Macaca mulatta: one gene and its partners. The protein of the gene in region 4 interacts with the protein of the main gene of each other region in a pairwise test. Links are inferred from orthologs where the notes say so. Each region holds a gene or a part of one and is shown on either strand. Other genes may lie near its edges.

The links.
Region 1: the proteins of L3MBTL2 (region 4) and TBC1D9B interact in binary tests that used the Homo sapiens proteins (3 or more experiments, as listed by UniProt). The two-hybrid records come from large-scale screens. The link is inferred for Macaca mulatta from reciprocal best matches to the Homo sapiens genes L3MBTL2 and TBC1D9B.
Region 2: the proteins of L3MBTL2 (region 4) and PHF10 interact in binary tests that used the Homo sapiens proteins (3 or more experiments, as listed by UniProt). The two-hybrid records come from large-scale screens. The link is inferred for Macaca mulatta from reciprocal best matches to the Homo sapiens genes L3MBTL2 and PHF10.
Region 3: the proteins of L3MBTL2 (region 4) and TLE5 interact in binary tests that used the Homo sapiens proteins (3 or more experiments, as listed by UniProt). The two-hybrid records come from large-scale screens. The link is inferred for Macaca mulatta from reciprocal best matches to the Homo sapiens genes L3MBTL2 and TLE5.
Region 5: the proteins of L3MBTL2 (region 4) and BEND7 interact in binary tests that used the Homo sapiens proteins (3 or more experiments, as listed by UniProt). The two-hybrid records come from large-scale screens. The link is inferred for Macaca mulatta from reciprocal best matches to the Homo sapiens genes L3MBTL2 and BEND7.
Region 6: the proteins of L3MBTL2 (region 4) and MEAF6 interact in binary tests that used the Homo sapiens proteins (3 or more experiments, as listed by UniProt). The two-hybrid records come from large-scale screens. The link is inferred for Macaca mulatta from reciprocal best matches to the Homo sapiens genes L3MBTL2 and MEAF6.
Region 7: the proteins of L3MBTL2 (region 4) and ZFY interact in binary tests that used the Homo sapiens proteins (3 or more experiments, as listed by UniProt). The two-hybrid records come from large-scale screens. The link is inferred for Macaca mulatta from reciprocal best matches to the Homo sapiens genes L3MBTL2 and ZFY.

Annotation. Positions count from the first base shown.
Region 1 is NC_133411.1:188,875,325-188,879,318, forward strand, and holds part of TBC1D9B (TBC1 domain family member 9B), read right to left. Parts: intron 3,981-3,994; coding exon 3,882-3,980; intron 2,948-3,881; coding exon 2,879-2,947; intron 1,586-2,878; coding exon 1,345-1,585; intron 1,031-1,344; coding exon 857-1,030; intron 1-856. UniProt on the Homo sapiens protein: May act as a GTPase-activating protein for Rab family protein(s).
Region 2 is NC_133409.1:2,319,880-2,323,873, reverse strand, and holds part of PHF10 (PHD finger protein 10), read right to left. Parts: intron 3,145-3,994; coding exon 2,989-3,144; intron 1-2,988. UniProt on the Homo sapiens protein: Involved in transcription activity regulation by chromatin remodeling. Belongs to the neural progenitors-specific chromatin remodeling complex (npBAF complex) and is required for the proliferation of neural progenitors.
Region 3 is NC_133424.1:3,855,017-3,859,470, forward strand, and holds the start of TLE5 (TLE family member 5), read right to left. Parts: upstream 2,978-4,454; 5' UTR 2,781-2,977; coding exon 2,553-2,780; intron 2,367-2,552; exon of another isoform or gene 2,051-2,366; coding exon of another isoform or gene 2,024-2,050; intron 1,780-2,023; exon of another isoform or gene 1,473-1,779; intron 1,128-1,472; coding exon 1,030-1,127; intron 1-1,029. UniProt on the Homo sapiens protein: Transcriptional corepressor. Acts as a dominant repressor towards other family members. Inhibits NF-kappa-B-regulated gene expression. May be required for the initiation and maintenance of the differentiated state.
Region 4 is NC_133415.1:10,283,671-10,287,664, reverse strand, and holds part of L3MBTL2 (lethal(3)malignant brain tumor-like protein 2), read left to right. Parts: intron 1-458; coding exon 459-606; intron 607-1,329; coding exon 1,330-1,412; intron 1,413-1,760; coding exon 1,761-1,995; exon of another isoform or gene 1,996-2,062; intron 2,063-2,478; exon of another isoform or gene 2,479-2,521; coding exon 2,522-2,587; intron 2,588-3,994. UniProt on the Homo sapiens protein: Putative Polycomb group (PcG) protein. PcG proteins maintain the transcriptionally repressive state of genes, probably via a modification of chromatin, rendering it heritably changed in its expressibility.
Region 5 is NC_133414.1:15,038,498-15,042,491, forward strand, and holds part of BEND7 (BEN domain-containing protein 7), read right to left. Parts: intron 2,609-3,994; coding exon 2,486-2,608; intron 1-2,485.
Region 6 is NC_133406.1:203,283,921-203,288,478, reverse strand, and holds the start of MEAF6 (chromatin modification-related protein MEAF6), read right to left. Parts: upstream 2,946-4,558; 5' UTR 2,925-2,945; coding exon 2,835-2,924; intron 1,738-2,834; coding exon 1,622-1,737; intron 1-1,621.
Region 7 is NC_133427.1:2,558,644-2,563,112, forward strand, and holds the end of ZFY (zinc finger Y-chromosomal protein), read left to right. Parts: coding exon 1-1,160; 3' UTR 1,161-3,620; downstream 3,621-4,469. UniProt on the Homo sapiens protein: Probable transcriptional activator. Binds to the consensus sequence 5'-AGGCCY-3'.

The DNA of each region.
Region 1 (3,994 bases), on a different chromosome or scaffold from region 4:
GCCCAGTGGGGTCTGTCCCACCAGAGCCTCTGTGGTGAGCCAGCCACAAACGAGAACAGCTGTGTCAAGAGCCTTTCGGCCCCGGAGGCACAGAGCAATGGCCTGTCAGCTTTAAAAATCACAGGTCTGGGCCCCATCACAGGCAATCAGGAGAGAATCTTCTCAGGTGAAGCCCAGCCCCAGTACTCTAAAAATCCCCAGGGTTGGTTCTGAGGGCAGCTGCTGACCTCAGATGGCAAGCGACAGCAGGGACCTGGGGGCAGGTCCAGCCAGAGCAGAGCGCCTGGCCCAGGATTTCCACCTGCCTCGCCCTTCTTTCTTTCTATGATGACGGAGATGACCCCTCCTTGGAGCACTGTCCATGCAGCCACCCCTGCTGAGCCCCCAGACAGCCTGTCGCCAATGCAGCCCTACTCGGCTCCAGCACCGCTGCGAGGCCGGAGAGAAGTGGCCCCTCCTCATGGCCATGTGAGGATTCTCCAGCTGAACCTCTGGGAATAAACCCTTAAGAAACTTGACAAATTAATGCAGCAGTTTTGGTTCCAGCCCTGAAGCTCCACTCATGGCCCTCCTCGTGGGGTTTGGGTCCAGCTGCCTCCTCGGTGGGAGTTCTGTTCCCAGTGGTGCCCGGTCACCCGTGGGATTCTCCTCCATGTCCTTTCCCAGGCCAAGGCCCTGCTCTTAGACCTCTGTCAGGTGCTCAAGCTCCCGTTCCCTCTCCTCCAATGTGAAACTCCAGCCTGTGGAGCTGCTGTGCCCCCTTAAGGCCCCACAGTCCCACAGAGGCCTATCCTCTGCAGCTGAACTTCCGGACAAGTGGGAGATCCTGGCTGGGGAGTGGGCAGGAGGCTCTCACCTGGGGGAAGGTGTAGCTTGTAGAGCACCTTGAGCTTCTCTGTCAGGTCCCCGTGGTACATCCCGCCTGTGGAGAAGGCCAGGGAAGGGGCTGGGGCTGGCAAGATGGCTGCAGAGCCCCTTCCACGGGGTACGAGTGGGACCCTCTTCACAGCCTGCGCTGCCCATCTCCCTCCTGGAGAGGTCACGGGGTGAGTCCCAGGCCTCCTGTCTCCCTGGTGCCCTGCTGGGAAGGCTCAGCCCTTCCCTGGGGCTGGCAGACCAGCTTCTAGCAGCCCCAGACTGCATGTGGGAGGGGAGCGGGCAAGGCTCCTGCTGGACCCCCTCTCGGCTCCTGTGGGTAAACTGTTCTTCCCGTATCTAGGGCTAGAGGCACAAGCAGCCCCCTCCTGGCTGCAGTGGGGACAGACAGGAGATGCTGGCATTTGGAAGGCTTCCTGGGAAAGGGTAAGGGAGGGTCGGCCCCTGGTAGGCCCTGCAGGCACTCACTCATCCCCATCACGAACTCCTTGAAGTTGATCAGCGAGTCCTTGTTTTTGTCCAGGAGCCTGAACATGCGACCTGCCAGCACAGGCGTGTGGGAGCCGCAGGCCCAGGGTGTCAGGCTGGCAAAGAGTTCCCGGAACTGGCTGGCATCAATCCGGTACTGCTCCAGGTAGGGCAGGCTGGGGTCCCGACGGCCGGCCACTGTGTGGCTGCTCCCCCAGTACTGGCTCGCCAGGTGCTTGGCCTGTGGGACACAGTCTGGTGAGATGGCCCAGCCGCTAAGCCTGTGGGTGGAGGGGACCCCTAGGCTGGTGATGTGTCCACCCTCCCCCTCCATCCAAGCCTGCGGAGCCCTGGGTTGGTGAGCACTGGCCAGACACCGCAGCACCTCCTGAAAGCTCTCAGGGTATCATCAGTCCCCTGTTAACAGATGGGGAGGGGGTTGGCTGACAGAGTCCTTGGCAGCCTGCAGAGGGCAGAGCTGGTCTGCTGGCCCCAGAGAAGGGCTGAGCCTTCCTGGCAGGGCTCCAGGGAAACAAGAGGCCCGAGGCTTGCTCTCGCTCCTGTGACCTCTCTAGGAGGCAGGCAGAGCTGGCTCAACCGTTGTGACACCAGGGCCACAGTCCAGTGGCCACCTTGAGCACAGAACCTGAGGCAGCTGGAGAGGTGGATGTGAACTGGTAACAAGAACAGAAAGGCAGTCATTCCAACTATCAAGGCTGGGTCTCTTGCTAAAAGCACAAGAGCAAGAAAAATTATCTTCGCACTGGAGTTACTGAGAAGAGAGTATGGCCCTGGAGCTGTGACAACAGTCCTGGCACTGTAGGAAAAGCAGTGCAGAGGACATCAGAGGTGGGGGAGCCTGACGGCACATTTGAGCACCTGGATCCAGCCATGTCTGAAGTTTGCATTGATAGACTTTTCAGTTACAGGGGCAACGCATTCCCTCTTCTGTGAAAGATGACTTGAATGGATTTTTTGCCATTTAAGAGGTCCTGCCTAAACTCCAAGAAGGATTCGATTCTACCACATGAGGTTCATGGCAACTGCATCTGAGGATGCACTTAGATCTATTTCTCTATTTCTATTCTATTCCCTATTTCTATTTCTATCCTCTATTTCTTTTTTTTTTTTTTTTTTTTTTTTGAGACGGAGTCTCGCTCTGTCACCCAGGCTGGAGTGCAGTGGCCGGATCTCAGCTCACTGCAAGCTCCGCCTCCCGGGTTCACGCCATTCTCCTGCCTCAGCCTCCCGAGTAGCTGGGACTACAGGCGCCGCCACCTCGCCCGGCTAGTTTTTTTGTATTTTTTTAGTAGAGACGGGGTTTCACCGTGTTAGCCAGGAAGCCAGGATGGTCTCGATCTCCTGACCTCGTGATCCGCCCGTCTCGGCCTCCCAAAGTGCTGGGATGACAGGCTTGAGCCACCGCGCCCGGCCTCTATCCTCTGTTTCTAAGAGGATACTGTTGGATCTATTTCTTTTCTGGCAGGAAGCTAGGAAGCTAGGAAGGGGTCCTGCCCTGGCTCTGAGCTGTCACCTTAAACACCATGTAAAGGTCCTCCAGCTCTTCAATTGAGAAACCAATGTCCACAGGTATAGCTCGGACCTAGAAGGAAGGAGAAACAGGGTGTATGGCTGGATCACAAGCTCCTGCCACAGAAAGTACAGCACTCCGTGGGAGTATCCTCAGCAGATGAAGGCAAGGGTGTGAACCGCCTCTCAGTGGCCCAGCACTCAAGGGCAGACCCTTCAGGAGAGGGCAAGGCCCACAGCCATCCCTGACTCCCCACCCACCAGTCAGCTCACACTCCTGGGCTCCTTCCCAGGATGGGCTTGGGGGAGCCTCTCTCCTCAACATACAGTTGAGGTTGAAGGGTGAGGAATGCTCATTTGCCTCCCATCATCCGGATCCCTGCGGAGACCCTGGTGCCAGCTCCGTAGAAGGAGCCCTCGAACCTGCCAGCCAGTGCTCCTTTGTTTTAATTGGCCGAAGCAGCCAGTCTCTGGTGCTGTGACCCAATGTCTTTACCGTGTCCCACAAGCCTGCAGGAGGGCTGGGAGTGTGGAAACAATGGAAGAAGTCCCTGCCTTTGGGGGCAGAGACCACGAACAGGTCTTGCAGTACAGGGTGGCAGGGAGGGCCTGGCCCCTCCAGAAACGAGGACAGAAGCTTGTGGCAGAGACATGGCATTTGGGGTGTGTGGAGGGTGGTGGCATGTTGCCGCCACCTGGGAGTGGGGCAGGGAACACATGGCACAGCCAGCTGGGCGGGCTTGGCCCAGAGGGCATGTGGCTGTCAGGGTGGCAGCCATCTGAGAAGCTTCCCGGTGACTCACCCACCAGCAGAGAAAAGTGACTGGGACCTCTCCCCACATTCCCACCTAAACCCCTGGATCTGGTCCCATGAATCCTACCATGATGTACGTACCAAAGCAGTGTAGGACAGTGGGTGCGGTGGAGCCCTGCACCCGCCCTGTTCTGTGGAGAGGGCTCCGCTGCCCCCCGGCCCAGCCCCCGCCCAGCCCCGCTGGCACCCATACCACACTCCTCTTGGCTGTGTCCTCCAAGGACTGGATCACTTTCAGCCTCTGTTTAAACCGCATCTGCTCGATGTCCTCGGCCCTCAGGCTGCTGAATTTCTACAGGCAGAGGT
Region 2 (3,994 bases), on a different chromosome or scaffold from region 4:
CTTGCAGTGTAGTTACCCTCTGTTGTTACTGCTACATTCTAATCATAAGGTTCTCATTGTGTGTTCCTATACCTAAATAAAAAACAGCTAGGAAGTGCACTTCTATAATCCAAATTCTGGTTCAGTTTTGTAATCATATCTGTACCTGCCATAATATACAGCAGAATGCTATCTCTTAATCCATCAAAACTAAGAAATCTCTTTTGGTTATGGTACCTGTACTAAATGTAAAAGATATACTTATTTAATACTCATAGTTTAAGTTAGATACTGGCATAGTAAATACTCTAATATCTTTCACTAAAGTCAGGGAAGTAACCAAACAATATTAAATTCTAAAAACAGAACTCCTCATAGGAGATTCTTTACAAAACAAAAGCCAAAAGGAATAAAACACAAGGGTAGTCATTCACATTCTAGAGCAATTCAAGTTCTACAATCATTAAAATATACATTAAACACCTATGATAAAGGGACACCAAAAAATTCTAGGTTTATTTCTAAGTTTAAATCATAATGCTTTGTTAAATCACTTAGTTTTTCTTACCCAACAGTCTTCATCTTGAGGAAAACAGGGCAACATGAGAGAAGGGGAAGAGAGACAGCTTTGTAGCATTTTCTGTGATGAATGCTGCAGCTCAATATACAAAGCATCTGCCCTCTCTAAGAAGCCACAGTGCTGGCATCCAGGACTTCACACAGCAGATAACAACCGTGGCTTAGAGAAGCCAGTCTCAGTGGATTGCACAGTTGAGGGAGGGGTTAATGTGCAGCACTCTCCCCAAGGCCAATGGAACACACTCCCATGTGTGTCTGGTTGAGACAATCAGTTCTACTTCAAATAACTGCAACATCATCAGTTTCACTACTGACAAGAAAATTGAAATACTCATCCTAATAGCTCTCAGCATCTCAAATAAAAGGCTCACAGTACACTTACTTTTCTACTTGAAAAACAGCCAAAGATAAGACTTTCATGGTAGCAATAATATAGTATAGATTTTAATTATATATTTATAGGCTGGAATCCTAATAATTATGCTTTAAATTTCAGGTTAATGTAACCTAAACAATACGGTCCTACGAATTAAGGGCAAGCACTAGTGAATCTTATTAAGCAACCCGACAGATACATTACTTTCTTGAATCTCATATTTTATATATATATATAAATATATATATAAAACATGACCTTTAGCTTGAAGTACCCTAATATTTAGGCACATCTTGGTTTATTAATACTTTTTATAAAGAGGTTAACTTTTAATAAACCTGTTCACATTAATGTATGACTAGATACTGGTTGTTCCCATCTTTGAAATACCTGAAACATTTTTAGGTACTAAAAATGTTCACAGATTATGTAAAATATAAATTTTGCATATCCTACTTGAGTACTATTAGGTTCAGTTAATCTATATGATTTCTTGTATAGTAAATCAATGATAGTGTTAAATAGTTCATTTCCAGCCTGTATTAAAACATCTATTTCAATATTCTCTCTTTTTAACCCATGATCAATCAAGCTTACTGTTGGAAAGATCTACTTAGCACTCAAGAGTTAACAGGACACTGTGCTTTGAGCGGCCACTTCCATTTAAAGCTCTTAGCAGACCAGTAGAACACACTCATTCATGTACACTGTTTCTGAAATTTCATCTTTGGAGCTCACTTGCTTTCAGTTATTAAGCATTAGTTTATATATTTAAAGAAATTAGATAAGCTTTATATGTAAAAACAAGTACAAAAATCACATAGCTGCAGCCTATTGCAGCCACCCTTGGAAGCCAACCCTTGCTCAATTAAGCTTAAAATTTGCTTGCTACAGGCTACCAAAAAAAAAAAAAAATTTAAGTTATTTACATAAAAGCATTTTCTAATAAAACATGAAATACACTAATAGGTCACTTTTTTTACTTGAAGAAAGGTAAATGAACATGTTAGAACGTGTTCTAGTTAGTTTGACGGAAAGGTGACTAACTTCAGCCTGTTCTTGTGAATTATTTATCACAATCACAGTTCTGACATACAAGGTGTTTAACAATTTCACTTGGCAAAACTTCCTCATCAGCTTACTCTAAAATTTTCCTTCAATACACCTTCATAAGTGCAATAAAAGCATGTTCTAATACATTTCAGACCAAAGAATCAAAAGGTAGTATATTTTACTACCACCATCCCAAATATGAAACTGTACAGCTAATTCTTCCTTTTATGATATTCTTAAATCCCTATATGCAAATAAGGCTACACACCTCTCACCTCACCTTTTCTTCAAAAGAAAAGGGAGGGGCAGACAGAGGGAGGAAACGTTCAAAATATAATAATAGTTGCTGACAACCTACAACTTTACTCTGAGGATAATCAGATCAACAAGTTAACAAGTATGTTTTAATTCTTGTCATAGAATCATATAGGCTCTTTACCAAGGTTATGCTAAAAATCACACAATGTAAATAACAGGTTTTATTATTTTCTATCCCAGAGTTAGCTAAATTTAGCATATGGATCAAGTAATCCTTAGATTAAACCCAGATCTTTCTTAATGAAAGGCACTAAAAAATGCAACTTAGTCTAACAGTATACCCACTCATACTTCAGCTCAGCAGCTTTAGCTACACTAAATGCTGGGGCATTTAAAATGCCAAATAATTATGATCTTTACTCCAAGGAAAGAAAATATAAACTTCTGCCTATGAAATAATGTTTTAAAAACCCATACTTGCCTGGTTATTATTTCAAAGAAAAAAAAAGACTTATAAATTGTACATATACAGAAAACAGAAGCTAAACCATAGCCAAAAGTGACAGAAAAGCCACCAAGGAAATAAAGCACAAAAGAAAGCAGCAGACAGAGGGCACACCATAGAAGAACAGCTAGTGAAGTACAGCAGGCAGAAGCTCCACAATCGTGAAAGTCAAGTGAAAACATTTCAGGGAGAGAGGCTGGTCAGTAAAGAAGCTGAGTCAGGGGCTTTTTTCTTCTACCTTGTACCCAGGAACTGACTTGGACAGTACAGAACGTTTGGGACCATCTTTTCTTGGAGTGGCAGCTTTGTCTTTTGATTTCTGTCTTCCCTGGAAAGAGTCCTCCTGGCTGTCAGGAGCGCTTTCTCCTTCAGATACATTGCCAGAGGAGCTGTCCTGGAGTTTAAAAGGCAAAAACAAAGATTCTTTGGAATTGAGTCTGGATTTTGAAAACTATGGAAAATACTCAAAAAAAGTTTTAAAGCCTTATCAATTTAAAAATAAAAAGATCATTCTAAATGTAAGAAAGTTTTTTCCAGTGGAGACTAAAGTAACTTATGTTAAAAATCATTCATCTTTCTTCTAAGTATGATATGGTATAAAACTGATTGCATTCATATCAGTGCCTTCATCAACTTTGTTTTCTGACCTAAGTCACAAAAATGCAATTATCCGCTTCAGCTACTATTATACGGCACACAGCTTCAACATCATTTTCCATGTCACAAGGGAACATATTTGTTTCACACAAAAATATATTGTTACAAATAAGTGTGGGTATTTTCACTGAGTACTAAAAGTCATTAAGAAGGTCCTTCAGGAAAAATGAAGTGCTGCAGTTAAAAAAAAAAAAAAAAAAAAATTCCTTCGAGTACACATTTGTGTTTTCATAATGTTAAACCATGCAGAGCCAATCCCTCAACTATCTACAACAGGATGTGAAAGATTGCATATATTCAAGGTTTAAGACCTCAATATCTAATGATTTAATTCTTCATTTTATAATTTTAAATTTTCTAATTAGAACTTTCATATAAATTATGAAAATTATAAATGAAAAAATTAGATTATCTAGAGCCTCCCTGATAAACACACACTGACTAGAAACATTAATATATCCACTTCATCTTTTTTCTGGGTGTCCACTTATATACATAAAGATACCGAGACTCACACATACCCCCTAACCTCATTGTGCCCTCATTTTTTAAAACACAAAACTGGATTACACTGCGTGTGTATGCAT
Region 3 (4,454 bases), on a different chromosome or scaffold from region 4:
CGGGGGTTTGAGCGTAGCCTGACTTCCTCCAGATTCCCAGGCCCGGCGTGCCCCTCCAGAGTAGGGCAGGTGAAAATCTGTATCCTTAAACCTTAAACCAGGAGAGAGACCTGGTGCAAACCTCAGCCTTGCCACTTCCTCAACGCTACGGACATCCCCGAGGAAATAACCTCTCTGGGCTTAAGTTTCTTCTTCTTTATTTTTTTTTGTTTTTTTTCGGACACCGAGTCTCTCTCTGTTACCCAGGCTGGAGTGTGGTGGTTCGATCTCTGCTCACTGCAACCTCCGCCTCCCGGGTTCAAGCAAGTTTCCTGCCTCAGCCACCCAAGTAGCTGGGATTACAGGCGTCTGCCACCACACCCGGCTAATTTTGTATTTTTAGTAGAGACGGGGTTTCGCCATGTTGGCCAGGCTGGTCTCGAACTCCTGACCTCAAGTGATCCACCCGCCTCAGCCTCCCAAAGTGCTGGGGTTACAGGCGTGAGCCACCGGTGGCACCCGGCCTGGGATTAAATTTCTTTAAGTGTAAAAGGACTAAATAGTTCCTTCCCCTTAGATACCACAGCATGGCAAGCTCTTCAGAAACGCCAGGAGATTTCTGAAAGAAGCACCTGGGAGAATCTGACTGATGCTGGGAACCCTTTCTCCAAAACTGGGCAAAGAGAGATGACCAGGCTGCAAAATGTTTGTTTTGGGGGTTGGGGGGACGGCGAGTCTGTGCCCTAACTCCAATTGTCTTTTATCCAAGGGGGGACTTGGGGGGATTGGGTAGGAGGGAGGGGCTCTGAAGCCACACAGCTGGGTCTTTGGGCAAATTATTTAACTTATTTTGTGCCTCAGTTTTGTCCTCCACAGAATGCAGCTGTTTAAAAAAAATGAATTCCCTATTTGTCAAGTATTAGGTCAGAGTCTAGCATACATTATTTTCCCAATCTCCCCTCCAGGCCTCAGCCTTGCCATCTGCGCAGAAAAAATGGGGTGGGGGGCTCACCTTCTCGGGACGCAGGGACCCTCGGCCCCCCAGCTCACCTGTGATACTGAGCTTGCAGTAGCTGAAATTCGTCTTTGATGCGGTCGCAGGAGTCCGAGGTGGTGAATTTGAGTTGCTGGGGTAGGTGCGAAGAGCCCTGTGGGGAAGGGGCGGCCCGGGTCAGGCCCTGGCTTGGGCTGGACCCCCCTCGAGGGCCAGCCGGGAGGGAGCGGCCGCGCAGCTGCGGCGCCCCCCCTCCTGCCCCACTTCCTGGGCCCGTGTTTACGGCCCCTGGCGCGGCCCCCACCCGCGCTTCCTGCCCCCCGCCTCTCCCGGGGGAAGCCGAGGGGGTGGGTGCGCCCGGAGCCGCCCCGACCCCCGCCACCTCCAAGCAGTGGGGGTGCGTTTTAAGGCCTGCCCTAGATGGGGGGCAGGGTGCGCCCTCTACCGCCCCTCCAAAGCGCCGGGAGGGAGTGCACATCCGAGGGGGGTGGATACGCACCCTAGGGAGCCCCCTCCCCAAGTTGGGGGGCAGCGAGTCCTCCCAGCAAAGCCCTCTTGGGGGAGGGGTCTCTCGGCGCCCGAAATCTTCCCGGGGGGCCCACCCCAGATTCCCAGCGCCCTTCCTCGGGGACGCGCTCTTCCGGGAGGGGTGCGCCTCGGATCGCCCCCCCACCACAGGCCCCCAAAGGATCCCCGCGCTAGAGGTGCCTGGCGGGGCTCCCGGAGCGCCCCAGGCCCGAGGCCAAGGCCGTCCGAGGCCCTGCCTGTCCCGGCGAGGGGGGGGGCGCCAAGCCGGGAGCTGGGACGGGGGGGCTCGGGGCCCGGAAGCTGGGGTGGATCGGGAACTGGGGGGTGTCCGGGGGCCGGCGGCAGGAGGGGGGTCGCGCCGGGCTTGGAGCTGGAGAGGGAAGACAGGGCCGGGGAGTTGGGGGGGGTGCCGGGCCGGAGGCACCGGGCCTGGGGGTGGGGGGCGCGGGGCCGGGAGCCGGGGGTGGGGAGCGCAGGGCCGGGATCCGGGGTGGGGGCGCCTGCCGGACGGACCCCGCTTACCGAATGCCTGCTTTGTGGAAACATCATGTCAGTCGCGGCAGGGGGCGCGGGCTGCGCCCCGGCTGTGCGCCCCGGCTCGGGCTGCTGGGGGCGCCGGGCGGCCGCGCCTTTGTCCCGGCGCCGATCGGCAGCTCCCGGGGCCGCCGCCGCCTCCCGCGCCCGGCCTCGCCCGCTTCCTGCGCCCCCTCCCCGCGCGCCCGGCCCCGGCGCGCCCCGGGCCCCGCTTCCTGCGCGCCCGGCGCCCCTCCCCGCCCCTCCCCGCCGCCCGCCTCCCCGCTCCCCGGCCCCACCGCTATTGTCTAATGGCGGCGACGCCGGCAGTGGCCGCGGCTCGGCTGATGCTGAGGCTCCGGCTCCACCTGCCGCCGCCGCCCGTGCCCCGTGCGCGCCGCCGAGGGGGGGGAGGCGCGCGCCCGGGGAGGCCTGCGGATCCCCACCCCGGCCCGCCTCCCCAGGGCCCGCCCGCCGCGGTGACCTTGGGCCCGGCCCGCCCCCGCCCCGGGCCGCGGCCCCCGCCACCCCCCCCAACCCGGCAGCAGGCCGGGCCTCGGTTTCCCCATCTGTCAAAGAAAAGGGACCCGGCTGCCCGCGTCGAAGCCGCCAGCCCTGCCGTGGCACGACCTGGACGCGTGCCACGGACGTGCTCTGTGACCTTGGCTCTGGCTGGGCGGTGGTTCTCGCTGAGCCTCAGTTTCCTTTTCTGCAGAAAGGCAGCGGTAATGCCGCCTTTCTCAGGGAAGCCATTCTTGCGACACATTTATAGAACGCCTACTGTGTGCCAGGGCCTGCTGCTCCAGGGCCCTGTGGTGGGGGCGGGGGTGGGGGGTCCCTGCTCTGGTGGTGGTGCCTGGAGACAGACAGAGACAAATTAACAAGCTGAATTCCCAGCAGGTCAGATGGTGGGGACCGTTCTGCAGAAAAACCAGCCGGGAGGATGGCAGGGTAGGAAGATGCAAAGTTAAACAGGTGGCAGGGAGGATCAGAGAGAGCTTCCTCCGCCCCTAAAACGACCCAAAGAAGGAGAGAGAACAGGGGGATGGGGTACAGAGGTACTCAGAGGCAGGACCAGCAGGTGTAAAGGCCCTGGGGCAGGACTGTGCCTGGCATCAGGGTGCCAGGGCGGAGGTCAGGAAGGCCGGAGGGAGGCAGGGCCTGGGGCTTCATGCATTTGCCCGGGCCCCCCCCCCTCCTCAGCAGGGCTTGTGCTTGGGTTAATATTTAGTGTTGCATTTTGAGATTCCTAATCATTTTTGAACAAGGGGCCTTTCAGTTTTCTTTTGCACTGGGCCCTGCTAACTCTGTAGCTGGTGAAGCAGGCCAGTCCAGCAAGGACTTGTGGGCCATGGGGAGGACTTGGGTTTTTGGGTGAGTGAAGTGGGAGCCCTGGAAGGCTGTGGGAGGAGGAGGGATGGGACCTGGTGGTTTGTTTTTTGTTTGCTTTTGAGACGGAGTTTCACTCTTGTTGCCCAGGCTGGAATGCAATGGCACGATCCCAGCTCGCTACATCCTCTGCCTCCCGTGTTCAAGTGATTCTCCTGCCTCAGCCTCCCGAGTAGCTGGGATTACAGGCACGTGCTACCACGCCCGGCTAATTTTGTATTTTTAGTAGAGACGAGAGTTCTCCATGTCGGTCAGGCTGGTCTTGAACTCCCGACCTCAGGTGATCCACCTGCCTCGGCCTCCCAAAGTGCTGGGATTACAGGCGTGAGCCACCTTGCCCAGCTGTTTGTTTTTGAGATGGAGTCTCACTCTGTTGCCCAGGCTGGAATGCAGTGACGTGATCTTGCCTCACTGCAACCTCCGCCTCCCGGGTTCAAGCGATTCTCCTGCCTCAACCTCTCGTGTAGCTGGGATTACAGGTGCGTACCACCATGCCTGGCTAATTTTTGTATGTTTAGTAGAGATGGGTTTCACTATATTGGCCAGGCTGATCTTGAAATCCTGACGTTGGGTGATCCTCCCGCCTCTACCTCCCAGAGTGCAGGGATTACAGGTGTGAGCCACCGCACCTGGCTTTAGACTTGTGCTTTTGCTCTGAGTGAGGTGGGAATCCTGGAGAGCCGTGGGAAGAGGAGGAATGGGACCTGGTGGCGGTTATGAAAGTATCCCTCTTTCTGCCATTCAGAGAACAGGCCCCAAAGAGGCCATTGAAATAAGGCTGTTCCGCCGGGCGCGGTGGCTCACGCCTGTAATCCCAGCACTTTGGGAGGCCGAGGCGGGCGGATCACAAGGTCAGGAGATCGAGACCACGGTGAAACCCCGTCTCTACTAAAAATACAAAAAATTAGCCAGGCGCGGTTGTGGGCGCCTGTAGTCCCAGCTACTCAGGAGGCTGAGGCAGGAGAATGGCGTGAACCCGGGAGGCGGAGCTTGCAATGAGCCGAGATCGCGCCACTGCACTCCAGCCTGGGCGACAGAGCGAGACTCCGTC
Region 4 (3,994 bases):
CCTCCCTGGGGCCTTCTTGCTGTGTGCCATCTCCTTTGAGTGCTGGCCTAGGCAAGAGCCACAGCGGGGGTCACCTTGCTCCAAACTTCCTCATCGCCTCAGCCTGAGCAGCACCCCCCGCCCCTGCATGGCCTTCCTGGAGGAGGCTGCTGACTCGTCCACGCCGCGGATCCGCTCCATGCCAGGCGCGTGTGCTCACCCGAGAACACGGTCCAGCAGGATGGATGCGGCCCCTGCTGGCGTGGCGTTTGCTGTGTAGTGGGGAAGAGAAAGAATCCCACGTGGACGCATCACAGAAGTGCTGTGTGCCCCAGGGAGGCTCAGGTGTCCTCCAGGAGGGCTGTGCCCTAGATCTGTTTGGATCCATCTGCCTCGTGTCCCTGTTGGGGTGCGGTGCCAACCCAGGATGGGGTGCAGTTCATGATATGATCTGTCTGCCTGCTACCCCCACCCCCCAGGTTCTCCTGGATGGATACCTGATGATCTGTGTGGACGGGGGGCCCTCCACAGATGGCTCGGACTGGTTCTGCTACCACGCCTCTTCCCATGCCATCTTCCCGGCCACCTTCTGTCAGAAGAATGACATTGAGCTCACACCCCCAAAAGGTAAGACTAGAGAGGCCACCACGTGCTGGCCTTGACATCAGAAGGGGCAGGGTGTCCAGGCGCGGTGGCTCCTACCTGTAATCCCAGCACTTTGGGAGGCTGAGGCAGGTGGATGACCTGAGGTCAGGAGTTTGAGACCAGCCTGGCCAACATGGCAAAACCTCATCTCTACTAAAAATACAAAATTAGCCAGGCATGGTGGCAGGTGCCTGTAATCCATTACAGCCACTAGGGAGGCTGAGGCAAGAGAATTGCTTGAACCCAGGAGGTGGAGGTTGCAGTGAGTCAAGATCATGCCACTGCACTCCAGCCTGGGTGACAGAGCGAGACTCTGTTTTAAAAACAAAACAAAACAGAAGGGGCAGGGTGGGGCCACAAGTCCAGATTCCTGGTCAAGTCAGGCCCCAAAGTGTAGCATTTCAGGGTGTATGGGAAAGGTGACAGAGCCCGCCACCAGCCCTTAACTGCTGGGCTGACCCTGCCCCGTGGCCAGTGTATTGTTGATGAACAGAGCTCCCATGTATCCCGTTGGTCAGCAAACAACCTATACAACAGGACTGTGGTGCTAGAGCAGGTGCCACCCTGAGGGGTTGAGAAGGCTGCTGGGGAGACTCCAGGCTGGGTCCTGAGCAAGCTGCAGAGCTCCTTCAGCCATGTGTCCTTTCCCCCTGCCCACTTCCTGCTTCCCCTCTCCCTCTGCATCTGAGCTGTCTGCTCCTCCAGGTTATGAGGTACAGACCTTCAGCTGGGAGAACTACTTGGAGAAGACCAAGTCGAAAGCCGCCCCATCAAGACTCTTTAACATGGTGAGGAGACTCAAGCGGAGCAAGGGGCCTGCGGGGGCCTCAGGACAGGCCCTGCCTGCTGCTCCCAGCGGTGGCAGTTCCTCCCCTTTCTCTCGAGTCTCTGCTTCTAACACCAGCCACTTTTGGGGGGAAGTCCCCAGCTCTGGCCTGGGCACTCCAGTCCCTCTTCCATGGAGGGCAGTGTGGAGAAAGAGGTGCAGTGGGATTATTGTCTAGAGGAACTTGCCCCAGCAGGCGTTCCAGTCCCAGCCTCCTCCCTGCCAGTTCTTCAAGTGCCTCCAGGCCCGGGCGAGCCTGCTGGGGTAGGGAGCTGACTGGCTTGGCCACTGCCTCCTTTTTCTGCCCCAGGATTGCCCAAACCATGGCTTCAAGGTGGGCATGAAGCTGGAGGCCGTGGACCTGATGGAGCCCCGGCTCATCTGTGTGGCCACGGTGAAGCGAGTGGTGCATCGGCTCCTCAGCATCCACTTTGATGGCTGGGACAGCGAGTACGACCAGTGGGTGGACTGCGAGTCCCCGGACATCTACCCCGTTGGCTGGTGTGAGCTCACCGGCTACCAGCTCCAGCCTCCTGTGGCCGCAGGTCTGGGCTCTCATGACCCTAAGAGACTCCGACTTTCCTCTTCTTTTCTCCTTCTTCCCCGGCCCCTGTGCCCATCTCAGTTCTTTGGCATGAGATGGAGACATCTCATGGACCACTCTAAGTAGAGAGTGAGCCCCGTCACCCAGCCCCTGCTCCTGGCTTCTCTGGCTCCCTTCCTCTCTGGCCTGCAGAGCTCCTTCCTTCATCTTGCCCACTCTGTCATATGTTCTTGCCCTTGTGCACCCAGGTAAACTACCCAGGTCCCTCTGAGCAGCCGTGGTGACAAGGGTGGGAAGAAGGGACAGCTGTTCTCCAGCCCCCCCTCTCCTCATTGCCAAGCTTTGGCCTTCTATCTTGGGGTGTCCTGTGTGTTCTCCAGCCCCCCCTCTCCTCATTGCCAAGCTTTGGCCTTCTATCTTGGGGTGTCCTGTGTGGGAGGGTGGACAGGGTCTCGGGATGCGCCTGTGCCCTGTGTCCTCCCAGGGACCCTCGTCTCATCTCTTTCACCCTTGTCTTTCACCAACAGAACCGGCCACACCGCTGAAGGCCAAAGAGGCCACAAAGAAGAAAAAGAAACAGTTTGGGAAGAAAAGTAAGTACTGTCCCAGTGCAGCCAGGCTGGCGTGGGCCCGGGAGCGGTGGGCTGCGCCCCTGGGAGCAGGCGGGGTCAGCCCCCAGGCAGAGGTTCCCAGGTGCTGTCCTACTGGCGCAACTCTCCTCGTGGTCCTGTCCTGTCGCTTTTCCCTTGCTCTTTGGCCTACGGGCCTTTCATCCTGTCTCTGGGGACCCAGACCATAAATAGAGAGTGTTCAGTCTCTGGCCATGGTCAGGGTGCTGAGGAAAAGAGGTAAGAGATTGAAGTTGGGGGATCCCATCCCTGATGCCCACGTTCAGAAAAAAAACAGCCTGGCCTGGGCAAGCCGCCGCTGCTAGGTTCTCAAGGAAAAGCCGCAGGAAGAAATAGAAGCTCTCTCCAAGGCTCTCATTCTTACCTCGAGACCTCTTTGAGGGTGGGAGAGGGCAGGAGCAAAGGCAGGCAGCTGAGTGGCGGGACTGCACCTGGCACTCGGGCTGTGGGGTGTCATTTGCCTTGGTGGGGCCTCACTCTACAGATTCTGAGCCCAGCTTGGCTTCCACTTGAGGGGCAGAGCGGGACGGGCAAAGCCATCCTTCAGAGCCGCAGGCCCATGACAGCGAGGTGGGCTGTCACCTCCACGGTGTGGTACCATGTGGGGAAGAGGATGTTCTGAAACAGGAACCAGGTCCCTGGGGCAGGATTAAGATTGAGTGAGGCAGCTAGGCACAGTGGCTCACGCCTGTAATCCTAATACTTTGGGAGGCTGAGGCAGGCGGATCATGAGGTCAGAAGTTCCAAGACCAGCCTGACCAACATGGTGAATCCCCGTCTCTACTAAAAATACAAAAATTAGCCAGGTATGGTGGCAGGCACCTGTAATCCCAGCTACTTGGGAGGCTGAGGCAGGAGAATCACTTGAACCCGGGGGCGGAGGTGGCAGTGAGCCCAGATCATGCCACTGCACTGTAGCCTGGGTGGAAGAGGGAAACTCCATCACGCACACAAAAAAAATTGTCATGCCATCACTTTGGGAGGCCGAGGTGGGCAGATCACAAGGTCAGGAGTTCGAGACCAGCCTGACCAACATGGTGAAACCCCGTCTCTACTAAAAATACAAAAATTAGCCGGGCACACTGGCACACGCCTGTAATCCCAGCTACTTGGGAAGCTGAGGCAGGAGAATTGCTTAAACCAGGGAGGTAGAGGTTGCGGTGAGCAGAGATTGAGCCACTGCACTCCAGCCTAGGCGACAGAGCAAGACTGTCTCAAAAAAACAAAAAAATTGAGTGAGGGTGTGGCATTTATCCAGTAGGCAGAGGTTCTGTACCATTCAAACAGTAGGACTGGGAATAGTGCATGTTGCAGGAAGAAATCAACAATCAAAAACGGGCCAGGTGAGATGGTTCCCACCTGTAATCCCAA
Region 5 (3,994 bases), on a different chromosome or scaffold from region 4:
TTGATCCTGATATTTTTGTCTCCAAACTCAAAAGCAATTCATAAATATTAGAAGCAAACTAATTGCACTACATAAGAGCACAGAAGCTTTTAAATCGGTAATTAGTCTAGCTCACTGGCTCTCGACCTTGGCTGTACATTAGAATCACTCGGGTTTAAAAAAACTGAGATGCTGGGCCAGGCATGGTGGCTTACTCCTGTAATCCCAGCACTTTGGGAGGCCAAGGCGGGCGGATCACGAGGTCGAGAGATCGACACCATCCTGGCCAACATGGTGAAACCCCGTCTCTACTAAAAACACAAAAATTAGCTGGGCGTGGTGGTGGGTACCTGTAGCCTCAGCTACTCGAGAGGCTGAGGCAGGAGAATCACTTGAACCTGGGAGGTGGAGGTTGCAGTGAGCCGAGATCGCGCCACTGCACTCCAGCCTGGCGACAGAGCGAGACTCCGTCTTAAAACAAAAACAAAAATAAACAAAAAAACTGAAATGCCTCAGCCCCACCCCAAACTAAATGAACTGACACTTCCAGACATGCCGCCTGGGAACCAGCATTGTCTGAAAGGTCTTCCAGTGATTCTGCTGTGCAGCCAGAGTTGGCAACTTCTCTTTGCTCTATTTGCATTCCCCCTCAAGGTTGGGTCTGTACCCTCAGAATAAAAGGGACCCCGAAGAATGATCACGATGGCCTAGGCCCCAGGCCTCGCTGAGCCTCATGATTCTAAATTAAAAATGAAAATGTTTTGGTTTAAGGAACATGGGGACTATCTGAGTTTTTCTTCTTTTGCAAATCTAGACACAGCCCGAGTCTCTGGCATACAGATCTCACCTCTAGGTCTTATTCCTTGTCTTCTTAAAAGAAAGGTGAAACTTTCTAAATGTAATTTAAATCTAAGTCTTCAGGCATTAAACCTTAAGTAAATCTACCCACGACACAGATTTTTAAGTTTAAGAAAATTAAAGGAGAGTAATTTATTCAGTTTATCCTTTGTGCCATCCTACAGCTTTGGAATCGTTTACCTCCCTAATCTGCAAAGGTTCAGAAAAGAAAACACAGCGACAAAGTGGCATTTACTTAATAGATTCTAAAAAGGCTTCCATCAAGGATTTAAATGGTTGCAATTTGTAGTTTGCCATTTCAGTAGTAAGGAGCTTAAGTGACAAAACAAATCATTACAATTTCATATGCATATTTTCTTAAGTGCGAACAAATTCCTCCTTGGAGAAAAGAAACCGAACATCATGAAGTAACCTTTCTTTCTGAGCTCCTTATTTAGGAGATGTTAACCTCTGCCAGGTTAATAAGAACACAGATTATCGTAGTGGAACAAGGTGAGTCCAACGCTTACTGACCTGAGCAAAATGCTTCCTTAGGGTAAAACCAAATTCAGTGCTTAAAAAGATGCTGTTTTTCAGAAAGTAGCTCACATTACTTCAATGTGATCTTGGGTGACTGATAAATCTAAGTATTAAGCTTTTTATATCAAAACCACATCACTGAATATTAAAATTATGCTAGAATTCACTAAATGGCATCCTGAACAGCCTCTGAGTGACGACCTTCCGGACTACCATTCTGAGGAAAGGGCAGGAAAGCTAGTCACGACATGGCTAAGAGCAAGTGGTGATGTCCCTTGACAAGAGGGAAAACTTAATACAATGATTTATTTCTTGTACCTGTGACAAAAACAATTCTGTTTTCCTTCAGTTGTGAAGATCAGAAAATACAGCTGCTATAATGAAGACCTAGACTTCCAGACTTCCATAGAACGCTCCATGGACTTAAAGGCCACGCTAATGAAACAGCTTAGGCTTGTACCATGCCTTATTAAGTTCATTTACAACCACTACATCATTCTATTTTGACAACAGCCCTGTGAGTTCGACATGAATTCTCCATTTACAGACAAGAAACAGGAAGCTCAGACACGCCACACAGCATCAAGAGCAGAAATTGGCGTCCAATCCCAAATTATAAATCCACCGCTCTTCCATCCCTCAACTTGCCTGACGGCAGTGAAAACAAAAAGGAGTAACATAAACAAAGACGACAGAACAGGAGGATCTCTGAGCTTCCGCATCCTGAACAGGAGAGAAAAGCCACAAAGCACAGCCTGGGGCTCCACATTTCTTATCTGCTTAGTCCTTGAACACTGAAGCCCATGCTTCCTCCAGGGCTCCTCCATACACAATTGTTCCCAAATTTAATTAACTGACATTTGTGAAATACTAGGAGATCATGGAATGAAGTCTATTGAGTACATACACATAATTATATGAGCTGTATCAGTTGCAAGACAAAATATGTTTGATTTGCTAAAGGAAAAACGGATTGTAGAGAAAGCTGAAAAAACAGATACTTGAAAAGGCACAGCAAGACAGCAAGGTGAGAAGAAGGCTTTAATAAAAGCACAATGAACATTCCAATGGAAGATGTCAGATATGCATTAAAAATCAAAGGACTCATTCCGAGGCCTGATCCTTGTACCTGCTTGAATTTGCATTAATTTCCTCATGGTCTTGAGTTCTTGCAGAATGGCCTGCAACGTTGACTGGCAGTTACAAGTACAGCAGTTTGATCCAGCTGATGAATTCACCACTGGAAGTTCTCCTGAGCATGAAAGAAAAGAATGACTACTCCAAACAAACCAAAAAAAAAAAAAAAAAAATCATAAAGGGGTGGGGAGAAAAAAAGAAAGTATCTTGGCAGGATTTTGAAGCATGTGCAATTATGATGAAGCTGTGCCTAAGGAAAACGTACCCACTAATTATCACAAGCTAAATCTGGGGGTCTGACTTTATCTAATTATCCAGGCTCCCATACTGTAAGGTGCGTGCTGTGGCGCGGTGTGGGAGCCTGCATGCACACACGCACACAATGAGTGGGCACAGCAGGCCTCCCTGTTGTCAGAGCCGTTCATCTCAAATAACAATACCTCAAAAACTCACTCGAAACACACTCACGCTAGTTCACACAAAAAGCAAGCCCCGAGAACAGCCTTGCAAAAAAAATTTGGTAGCTGTGTTTAAGAGTTCATATTAAAAATTAAAGGAGTTCTATTGAAAATAGTTTTGATATTAAGCATATTATTTCAAAAACAAAGAACTGTGCACCCATGAAAAGTTTTAGAATACTCTCTGGGTGTGGCGTTTGGGGTGGGGAAGCACAGAGGAGCAGGGATGGGAGGATATATTCGAACTGGATGGGTTTGAGGGTACTGGTGGGCTGGCTGGTTTTTCTTCAACTTAATCAAGAAAATCTTTCTACCTCTTTTCTCCATTCCCATGTCTTATCTTTCCCTTGCCATAGCCTCTTTCGCACTGTTTACATTTAATGCCTTTTCCTTAGTAAACCTATCATATTCTGTTTCTCTCATAGGTAAGCAAGTATCTTCCATTGTCCTTAGAATAAAATGGGACATTTGGACACTGCTCTTACAGTGGGTTCCCTCCAGCACCTGTTCACCTGACCACCATAAAATGGAGCAGTTTAGAGACTTCCAGAGCTTACATTTTCTCACAGGCCAGCAAGGTAAGTTCCATGGTTTTGTTCCAATTATATGTTTTATTATACTTTATATACCTTAAATCCTGTAATAGGCATTATTTGGGAATACTATAGAAAAATTCGCCAGAGCAAAACCATGAAATACTTCAAGATAACTTAGTGACTGTAGTGGTACAATTATTTACATTCAAAATTGTAGCAAGATTGTAATGTTACAACTTTAAAATTGTAAATAATCCCAATTAAATACCAAAGTAGTCACAGTTATATGTAATGTATTTCTTTCTTTTTTTTTTTTTGAGACAGGGTCTCAGTCTGTTGCACAGGCTGGAGTGCAGTGGCATGATCCTGGCTCACTGCAACCTCCCCCTCCCAGGCTCAAGCGATTCTCACGCCTCAGCCTCCCAAGTAGCTGGGACTACAGGCATGCGCTGCCACGCCCGGCTTTGTATTTTTTAGTAGTGATGGGGTTTCGTCACGTTGGCCAGG
Region 6 (4,558 bases), on a different chromosome or scaffold from region 4:
TGGCATGAGGAAGATCTTTGTGGTAATGGAATAGTTCCTGAAGTAACTTGATTGTGGTCACATGAATCTACACACAAGATAAAGTGACATAGAACTATATATATACATTGTACCAACGTCAATTTCCTGGCTTTGATACTGTATTAGAGTTATATAAAACACACCTATTGGCCGGGCGCGGTGGCTCAAGCCTGTAATCCCAGCACTTTGGGAGGCCGAGGCGGGCGGATCACAAGGTCAGGAGATCGAGACCACAGTGAAACCCCGTCTCTACTAAAAATACAAAAAATTAGCCAGGCGCGGTGGCGGGTGCCTGTAGTCCCAGCTACTCAGGAGGCTGAGGCAGGAGAATGGCGGGAACCCGGGAGGCGGAGCTTGCAGTGAGCCGAGATCGCGCCACTGCACTCCAGCCTGGGAAACAGCGTGAGACTCCGTCTCAAAAAAAAAAAAAAAAAAAAAAAAAAAAAACACCTATTGGGGAAAACTAGATGAAGACTACAAAAGACCATTCTGCCAACTCCCTATGAATCTATAATTATTTCACAATTTAAAAACGTGAAATGTAAATATAGGTGTGTGCTTATATTAATATTATAGAGAGTAAGAGAAAGCAAATGTCACAACACATTAACAATCTGAATACAGGTAGGACAGTATCAAGTGTTCATATACTATTCTTCCCATTTTTCTATAACTTGAAGATAATCCAAAAGTTTAGAAATTTTTTAAAAATATTACTAAGCAAGCAGTGGTACAGCTGGCACACAGGTATGGCAAAAATTGTGAGGGTCAGTTGGGCGTGGTGGCTCACCCCTTTAATTCCAACACTTTGAGAACCTGAGGCAGGAGGACTGCTTGAAACCAGGAGTTCCAGGCCTGCCTGGGCAACAAAGTGAGACCCCACTTCTACAAAAAAAAAAAATGTTTTTAATTAGTCAGGTGCAGTATTGTGTGCCTGTAGTCCCAGCTAATTGAGAGGCTGAGGTGGGAGGATCATTTCAGCCCGGGAGTTTGAGGCTGCAGTGAGCTAAGATTGTGCTACTGCACTCCAGCCTGGACAACAGCATGAGACCCTGTCTCTTAGAAAAAAGAAAAGTGGCCAGGCATGGTGGCTCACACCTATAATCCCAGCACTTTGGGAGGCCAAGGCAGCAGATCACCTGAGGTCAGGAGTTCAAGACCAGCTGGGCCAACATGGAGAAACCTCGTCTCTACTAAAAATAAAAAAATTAGCCAGCCATGGTGGCATGCGCCTGTAATCCCAGCTACTCAGGAGGAAAAAGAAAAAAAGAAAAGAAAAATACTGTGAGGGTAGAACTCACGACTGATTAAAATGTGTAAAAAATTTAATAGAGTGATGTTGTATAAAGATATTGTTATATGCTGTATTTAAGCCTCACACAACCCTGTGCCAAAGGCCCAACTTTTGCTATTTTACAGATGTGAGCTTTGTCTAAGATTATTCAGTGAGGCAGTGCCTGAGCCAGAGTCCAAGAGTTCAAGTCCAGACCACACCACCACTTTACTACTGCCTCTAGCAAACTTGCTACTAAGAGCCTACAGTCCTACAAACACACACAATAGGAACACAATAGGAACACTACAGGCTTTCGACACTCACTTTTGGTTGGTCAGATACCGATCCCAGCCACGAATAATATTGCCATACATCTGAGTGTCTTCCAGGTAGCTTCCCTCAAAAGCATAGATCTGTCGCTCCAAGTTTGCCAGTGTTTCCTGAGAGATGAAAAACAAGGACATGAATAATGCCTTTTAAATGCAAACACTTAAGTCTGACCAAAATGAAATCCTGATATTAGATTTGTAAACGCAAGCTTGTCCACACTAAATCACCCTGTGGAGAGATGGATGATATGGGGAGGAGCAGCCGTTTAGGACTAAGACAGTCTAGACCTTTGGGTGTGATGGACCTCTGAATGTATAAAGCATGTCCCCAGAAAAATACACACACACGCGAAATTTTGCATATACTTTAGAGGATTCACGGAAACCAGGAGTCAAGAACCCAGGCTAACGCAGAACTTGTGCGATATCCACTCCCACGCACAAAAGGTATCGCTACCAGGAGAGGGAAGGGTGAGCAGCCTTTCAGCGTCAACTCGCTCCCCTCCCCGCAGGCTCAGAGAGGCCGCCGGCACCGGGCTGCCAGTTGCTATGGAAACCTGGAAGGGCAGCTTCAGGTGAGAGGGGCCTCCGGGGTGCCCAAGCCGAGACGTGAGGGCAGGAAGAGCTTAGCCACCAGGGTGCATTGGGCCTTGGGTGCCTGTCACAATTCCGAATTCTCCAGAATGTGTTCTTCTCCCTCGCCTGTCACCTTCTAGATATTCCCAAACACATCACAACCCTGTCTATCAAAAGCCTCCATTCAACGGATCTACTACTAGTACCAAAAAGAACACGCTCCCCACCATCCTCCAAAGTCCAGACAGGGTGACTCGGTCCCCCTCCCACACTAGCCTCCTACCCCACCCCCACCCCGCAAAGATCACGGACTCGCCCGCCTCGCCCTTCCTAGCGCCCTCTCCCCGAGTCCCGAGCCCCGGCACCGTCCTCCCTCCACGCCCCCTCCTGCGGCTGCCGCTGCCCCTCCCCCTCCCGCGCTCCCAGCTCCCTCCCGGCTCCGGATTCGCACAGCCGGGAAGCTGAACCGCCGGCGGGCCGCAGAATGCGCACCCGGCCTCAGGCCGCCGAGCACACAGCCCGCCGCGCCGCGCCCCCGGAGTAACGAACGGCCTGGCGCAGCCGGGCTTGGGGCCTGGAGGCGGGGCGGGCGCGGAGCCCCATGCCGGGCAACCCCGGTCCTAGCCCCTCACCGCCAACTCCTGCTTCCGCTTCACGAGCTCCGCCAGCTCCCGCCGGGTGTCCGGGATCTGCGGCGGCGCCGCCTTGTTGTGCATCGCCATGTTGGGCTGAGGCGGGCGGCGGCGGCGCGAGGTTGGGGGCGGTCCCTGCGCCGCCAGGGGGCGCCCCCCGCACTGCGCCTGCGCGCGCGGCTTCCGGAGACGCGTGCAGCGCCGCGCAGAGGTGCTCTGCGGCCGGGACTCTGGACGATCCTTCTCGGAGAGGTCCAGAGAGTCGGCTTCTGCTCTGCCCTTTACGCCGTTTCCTGCCCCTCGGCTGGCCGCGGGCTTTACAGACGCCACAAATCTACCGTGTCCAAAGCCTAGCTCGTCCTCAGGCCTCCGAGTCTCCTGTGCGTCCCGCCTCAGTCCACTTCAGTGAATGACTTTCACTATCCACCGCAATTGCCTGCGTCAGAAACCCGGTTTTCCTCACTCTGCACCCGGAGTAAAACGCGATACCAGGTCAAGCCCTGTGGATTCGACTCCGGAAGAGCTCGCGAATCCATTTGCTTGTGCCTGCGCCTTTTGCCACCTTCTTAGTTCATTCAGGCCCTCCCTGTTTGGGGCTACGTTATTCCAACAGCTTCTTTATTTCCACCTTTAGCCCCATTTAATCCACTATCCACAGTGGTGCCGGAATCTTCCAGAAACAAATGTTATCACTCCCCTGTTTAAAGCCTTTCAGTGGCTTCCCATTTTCCCATTGCCCTTTGGAGAAACAAGTATGTGTAGTGGTTAAGGGCACAAAACTGGAGCGAGAACTACCTTGTTCAAAATCCTATCGCTACATCGATAAAGTGTGCCCCTTTGGGTAAATAACCAAATCTCAACTCCCTCATCTGTAAAATGAAAGCAGTGATAGAATCTACTTAATACAGTTGCTGTGAGGAGTAAATCAGCTAATGTGTGTAAGGGGTTTGGCAGGTGCCAATGACTCTGCAAGTACGAATTCGCTTTTATCGTTAAGTCCAAGGTGTAGACGTTGTTTTCACTTGGCCCCTGTTGATTTCTCCCTCCTCAGCTCTCCATCTTTCACTCTTCTGCAATTTCGCTATCATAAGTCTAAGTGGGATATTTTTTCTTTTTGTTTTGTTTCTTGCTTGGAAGTCTTTGGATTTCTATAATCTGTGGGTTGGTATCTTCCACCAGTTTTGGGAAATCGCAGTCATTTTTCTTCAGATGCCTGTCTCATATTCTCTCTCTTTCTGGAACTCGAACATAAGAAACCTTTATTTTTAACCTACCGTCTATATTTTCTATCTTTTTGTCCCTCTGTGCTGCATTCTGAATAACTGGTTTCGTGTGCGGATCTTGTAACCTGCCATCTTGCTGAACTTCCTTACTAATTTTAGGGGGGTTTTGTATAGATTCCTTGGAATTTTTTACATAGATAATTTCATCTGCAAATGGGGCGTTTTTTTTTTTCTTTCTAAGCTGGCTTCTTTTTCTTTTTCTTCCTTATTGTGCAGACTTCCAGTAGTCTGTTAAATAAAAATGATAACATTAAACATCCTTGACTTGTTCCCTGTTTTAAGAGGAATGCATGCCGGGCGTGGTGGCTCATACCTGCAATCCCAGTACTTTGGGAGGCCGAGATGGGCAGATCGCAAGATCAGGAGATCAAGACCATCCTGGCTAACACGGTGAAACCCTGTCTCTACTAAAAAAAATAAATAAATAAACAATTAGCCGGG
Region 7 (4,469 bases), on a different chromosome or scaffold from region 4:
ATCCTTTGACTGTCTATCCTTGCATGATTTGTGGGAAGAAGTTTAAGTCGAGAGGTTTTTTGAAAAGACACATGAAAAACCATCCCGAACACCTTGCCAAGAAGAAGTACCACTGTACTGACTGTGATTACACTACCAACAAGAAGATAAGTTTACATAACCACCTGGAGAGCCACAAGCTGACCAGCAAGGCAGAGAAGGCCATTCAATGTGATGAGTGTGGGAAGCATTTTTCTCATGCGGGGGCTTTGTTTACTCACAAAATGGTGCACAAGGAAAAAGGGGCCAACAAAATGCACAAGTGTAAATTCTGTGAATATGAGACAGCTGAACAGGGGTTATTGAATCGCCACCTCTTGGCAGTCCACAGCAAGAACTTTCCTCATATTTGTGTGGAGTGTGGTAAAGGTTTCCGACACCCATCGGAACTCAAAAAGCACATGCGAATCCATACAGGGGAGAAGCCATACCAATGCCAGTACTGCGAATATAGGTCTGCAGACTCTTCCAACTTGAAAACACATATAAAAACAAAGCATAGTAAAGAGATGCCATTCAAGTGTGATATTTGTCTTCTGACTTTCTCAGATACCAAAGAAGTGCAGCAGCATACTCTTGTCCACCAAGAAAACAAAACACACCAGTGTTTGCATTGTGACCACAAGAGTTCAAACTCAAGTGATTTGAAACGACACGTAATTTCAGTTCATACAAAAGACTATCCTCATAAGTGTGAGATGTGCGAGAAAGGCTTTCACAGGCCTTCAGAACTCAAGAAGCATGTGGCTGTCCACAAAGGTAAAAAAATGCACCAATGTAGACATTGTGACTTTAAGATTGCAGACCCATTTGTTCTAAGTCGCCATATTCTCTCAGTTCACACAAAGGATCTTCCATTTAGGTGTAAGAGATGTAGAAAGGGATTTAGGCAACAAAATGAGCTTAAAAAGCATATGAAGACACACAGTGGCAGGAAAGTATATCAGTGTGAGTACTGTGAGTATAGCACTACGGATGCCTCAGGCTTTAAACGGCACGTCATTTCCATTCATACAAAAGACTATCCTCATCGGTGTGAGTACTGCAAGAAAGGCTTCCGAAGACCTTCAGAGAAGAACCAGCACATAATGCGACATCATAAAGAAGTTGGCCTGCCCTAACATTGTGTCTACAAGCTTGTAAAGATGTTGGCCTTGAAGCAGAAAATTCGTTTTTTAAAGCCAGTCTTGTTCACATCCATTACTATACATTGAATTATGCTGTGTAAAAATAGAATTATCGCTTCTAGTCCACTTTTCTTTACATTTTATTCAATAGGGTGTCCTGAATCCTATTCAGTTTCTTTAATAGATGAGAAAAATAGCAACAAGCAAGTTGCTTATAATTTGTGATTCTATACTGAATTTTCAGTCTTAAAAGCTTTACTATTTATTTACATATTTATTCATGTTGATGGTACTCTTCTAAGACAAAATCAGATTGATAACTACAAAAGTAACATTTTTGACCCATTTCTTCCTACACAAACGTTTCACATTGGAGACATCTGCTAACATAAATGGGAGATTTTACTGTCAAGTCCAGTTAGCAAAACATAATAATTTTTTTGTCTTGCTTAATATTACATGATGATGAAATTTTACATTTGAGCTTCTAGCATTGATTAATATAGGATATTGACTACATTTATGTTTAAATTTCATTTTGTTCAGCAGACAAAATGTACTTCCTTTAATTTTCATTAATAGTGTTTACATCTTTTGTCAGCACAGCAAACTTTTAAAAAGTATTATTGAAAAGTTTTACTTATTTTTGTCTTTTGTTTTCTCTTTGTACTGCTTTGTCTTGCATTGTATTCCAACACCCGAGACTTACTGCATACTGACTTTTAGTCTTTTAGAGGTAAATTGTGGACTCAGGATTTTTTGAAACTTGGTGTGTAACTCTAAATCTTGTATATGCATCTTTGTTGCTTATTACATATTTACACACACAAGCACAAATTTTAAACTTATGAAAATTTACAGTAACCTGGAAGATCCAGGGATGCATGAGAGCATTTCATAACTTACTATTCAGAGTTACTAAATTTGAGGTGAAGAATTGAAAAGAAGGACATTAGGAAGAGTGAAAATCTTCTAATACTCTTTGATAGATAAAAATGGAAGGTAAGATGTTTCTAGATAGAATGTTTTCTTACAATTTCAGCTTCATATCATAAATTTTTCCTGGAAAGCTATTTCAGACATAGGTTTCTTAGTTTTTGAGAATCCTGTGAAGGAACTCTTGTCTCACTGCAAAGTAAAGAGGACTAAGGGAAAGTGGTGGTACCATGTAACAGAATGAGAGCTAATTCCAAATTAGCAACTTTATCCTGCTTTTTATTTTACACTGAGTAAAGTTTTAAAAAGACAACAGTTAAGTTGATTTTGATTAGAAGATAAACATACGTAATGAAAATCCGTGGCCTTATTTGGAACATATATCACTTTCCAAATTTTATTGTTTGAGAGTTAATAAGTTATTAAGCAGTTAATAACATGTATGGATATAATATAAAATGAATTCATATAATTAAAAAGAATTTGGTTAATAAGAATTTTGGAGAATGGAAAATGCATTTTTAGGTTCCTTAATTTGGCTGTTGGTACCTATGTATTTGGAATATTTTCAGGGATTAGAATTTTTTTTAAACCACATTACAGCTACCTTCTGGCTTTAGTATGGTGGTGCTTCATTCAACTTACGCTGTCAGGTTTTTATTTTCTCCTTCTGGGCCACCAATTCAAAAGTTACAGGATTAGGAAATATAAATATTTGGTGATTGACAGCCTCTGACATGTTAGATTAATTTGATCTAGTTCTGAAGTGGTTTAGTAATACATGAATTTAAACCTAGTACCAACCAAAACCATATAATGGATTTTGAAAATCTGTTAGGACTTCTTAGCCCTCATACATGTTTCTACCTGATTGTTACTGTCCTTCATTATCTTGTTCTTGATAACTTCAGTTTGTATTTGAGAATCCTTTAAATCTCCTTCCAATTTGTTTTCTCCCTGAAGTAATATAAAAGGAAGTATTTAAGTGAAAGTTTAAGAGTTTTAAAGCACTCCTTAAAATTAATAGTTAGCTATTTATATTTTAAAAATAAACAGAAAGGTAAAGAACAACACTTTACATACTTCATGTTTTTCATATAGTCTGGAGTTATACACAGTTGTTTTGTTTTTAACCACAGTATTGAAACCTTTAAAAGGTAATTAAGCATTTGGTCAAGTAAATATGATAGAACGTTTGTATAAAGACAGAAACGAAATTGTGCTTAATGTTATATACTGTTATTATTTGCAGGCTGGTTTTAATTCTTAATTTGATTAGCAAAGCTAAAAAAGTGGATGTTGAAGTTGAAAGTTTTAAAGAGGTACAAAATCTTACAATGACATAAATTATTGTTTGGTTGAAAAATAGTGTATTAAATATCGTATGTCCCTTCCACTGTACAAATTGTAAAATACTTAAAATACTATGGAGAATTCATGTAGGAAGTGTGATACTGTTGTAAATGTGTACTTGAGAATAATATGCAAAAATAAAAATAATATTTTGCTGTTAATAAATGTTTACTTGTATATGATACCAATACTAAGTTAACTCTTTTTCTTTAAAACATGCAGTTTTAAGTCTTAATAAACATAAAACATAGTGGACTATTTTTATTTCCCCACTTAGTTCATTCTGTACATAAGTGGAACACAAAATGCTTTTTATGTAAATATTGGTAACCTTATGAATTTACAAGTAGTATTTCAGAGTACTTGTGCTAATTGAAGAGTCCTTTGCTCAATGTGTTTTTGAAAATCAATTTTTTGTTTTATCTTAATGAAAGATTGTTTGGTTAGCATCTCCACTTGCTGAAATAAATTTTCCTTGCATAGAGCTTTTTTTTTCTTTTTTTTCTTTTGGTTTTTTGTTTTTGTTTTAACAACAAAGCCTCACTCATTTGCCCAGGCTCAAGTGCAGTGGTTTGTGATCTCAACTCACTGCAACCTTGAACTCTCGGGCTCAAGCAGTCCTCCCACCTCAGCCTACATAGTAGCTGGGACTATAGGCATCTACTGTCGTGCCTGGCTAATTTTTTATTTTTTATAGAGATGGGGTTGGGTCTCATTATGTTGCCCACGGTGGTCTCAAACCCCTGGGCTCAAGGAGTCCTCCTGCCTCAGCCTCCCAAAATGGTGCAGTTATAGGCATAGGCCAGTGCACTAGGCCTTAAGTGATTTTTGAGGGCAGTAAGTCCATAGCAGAAGAACCTGCCCTAGTTACACATTTGTGTGTTACTCCTTTGTATTCAGTTTGGAGATCTTTAGTGTACACATATACTGTGGGATGGGTATTACAACAAAAATTAGAAGCTTGGTAGAAGTTAACGAGGAGTCAAACATTACAGCAAAGAAGACCGAGACTCG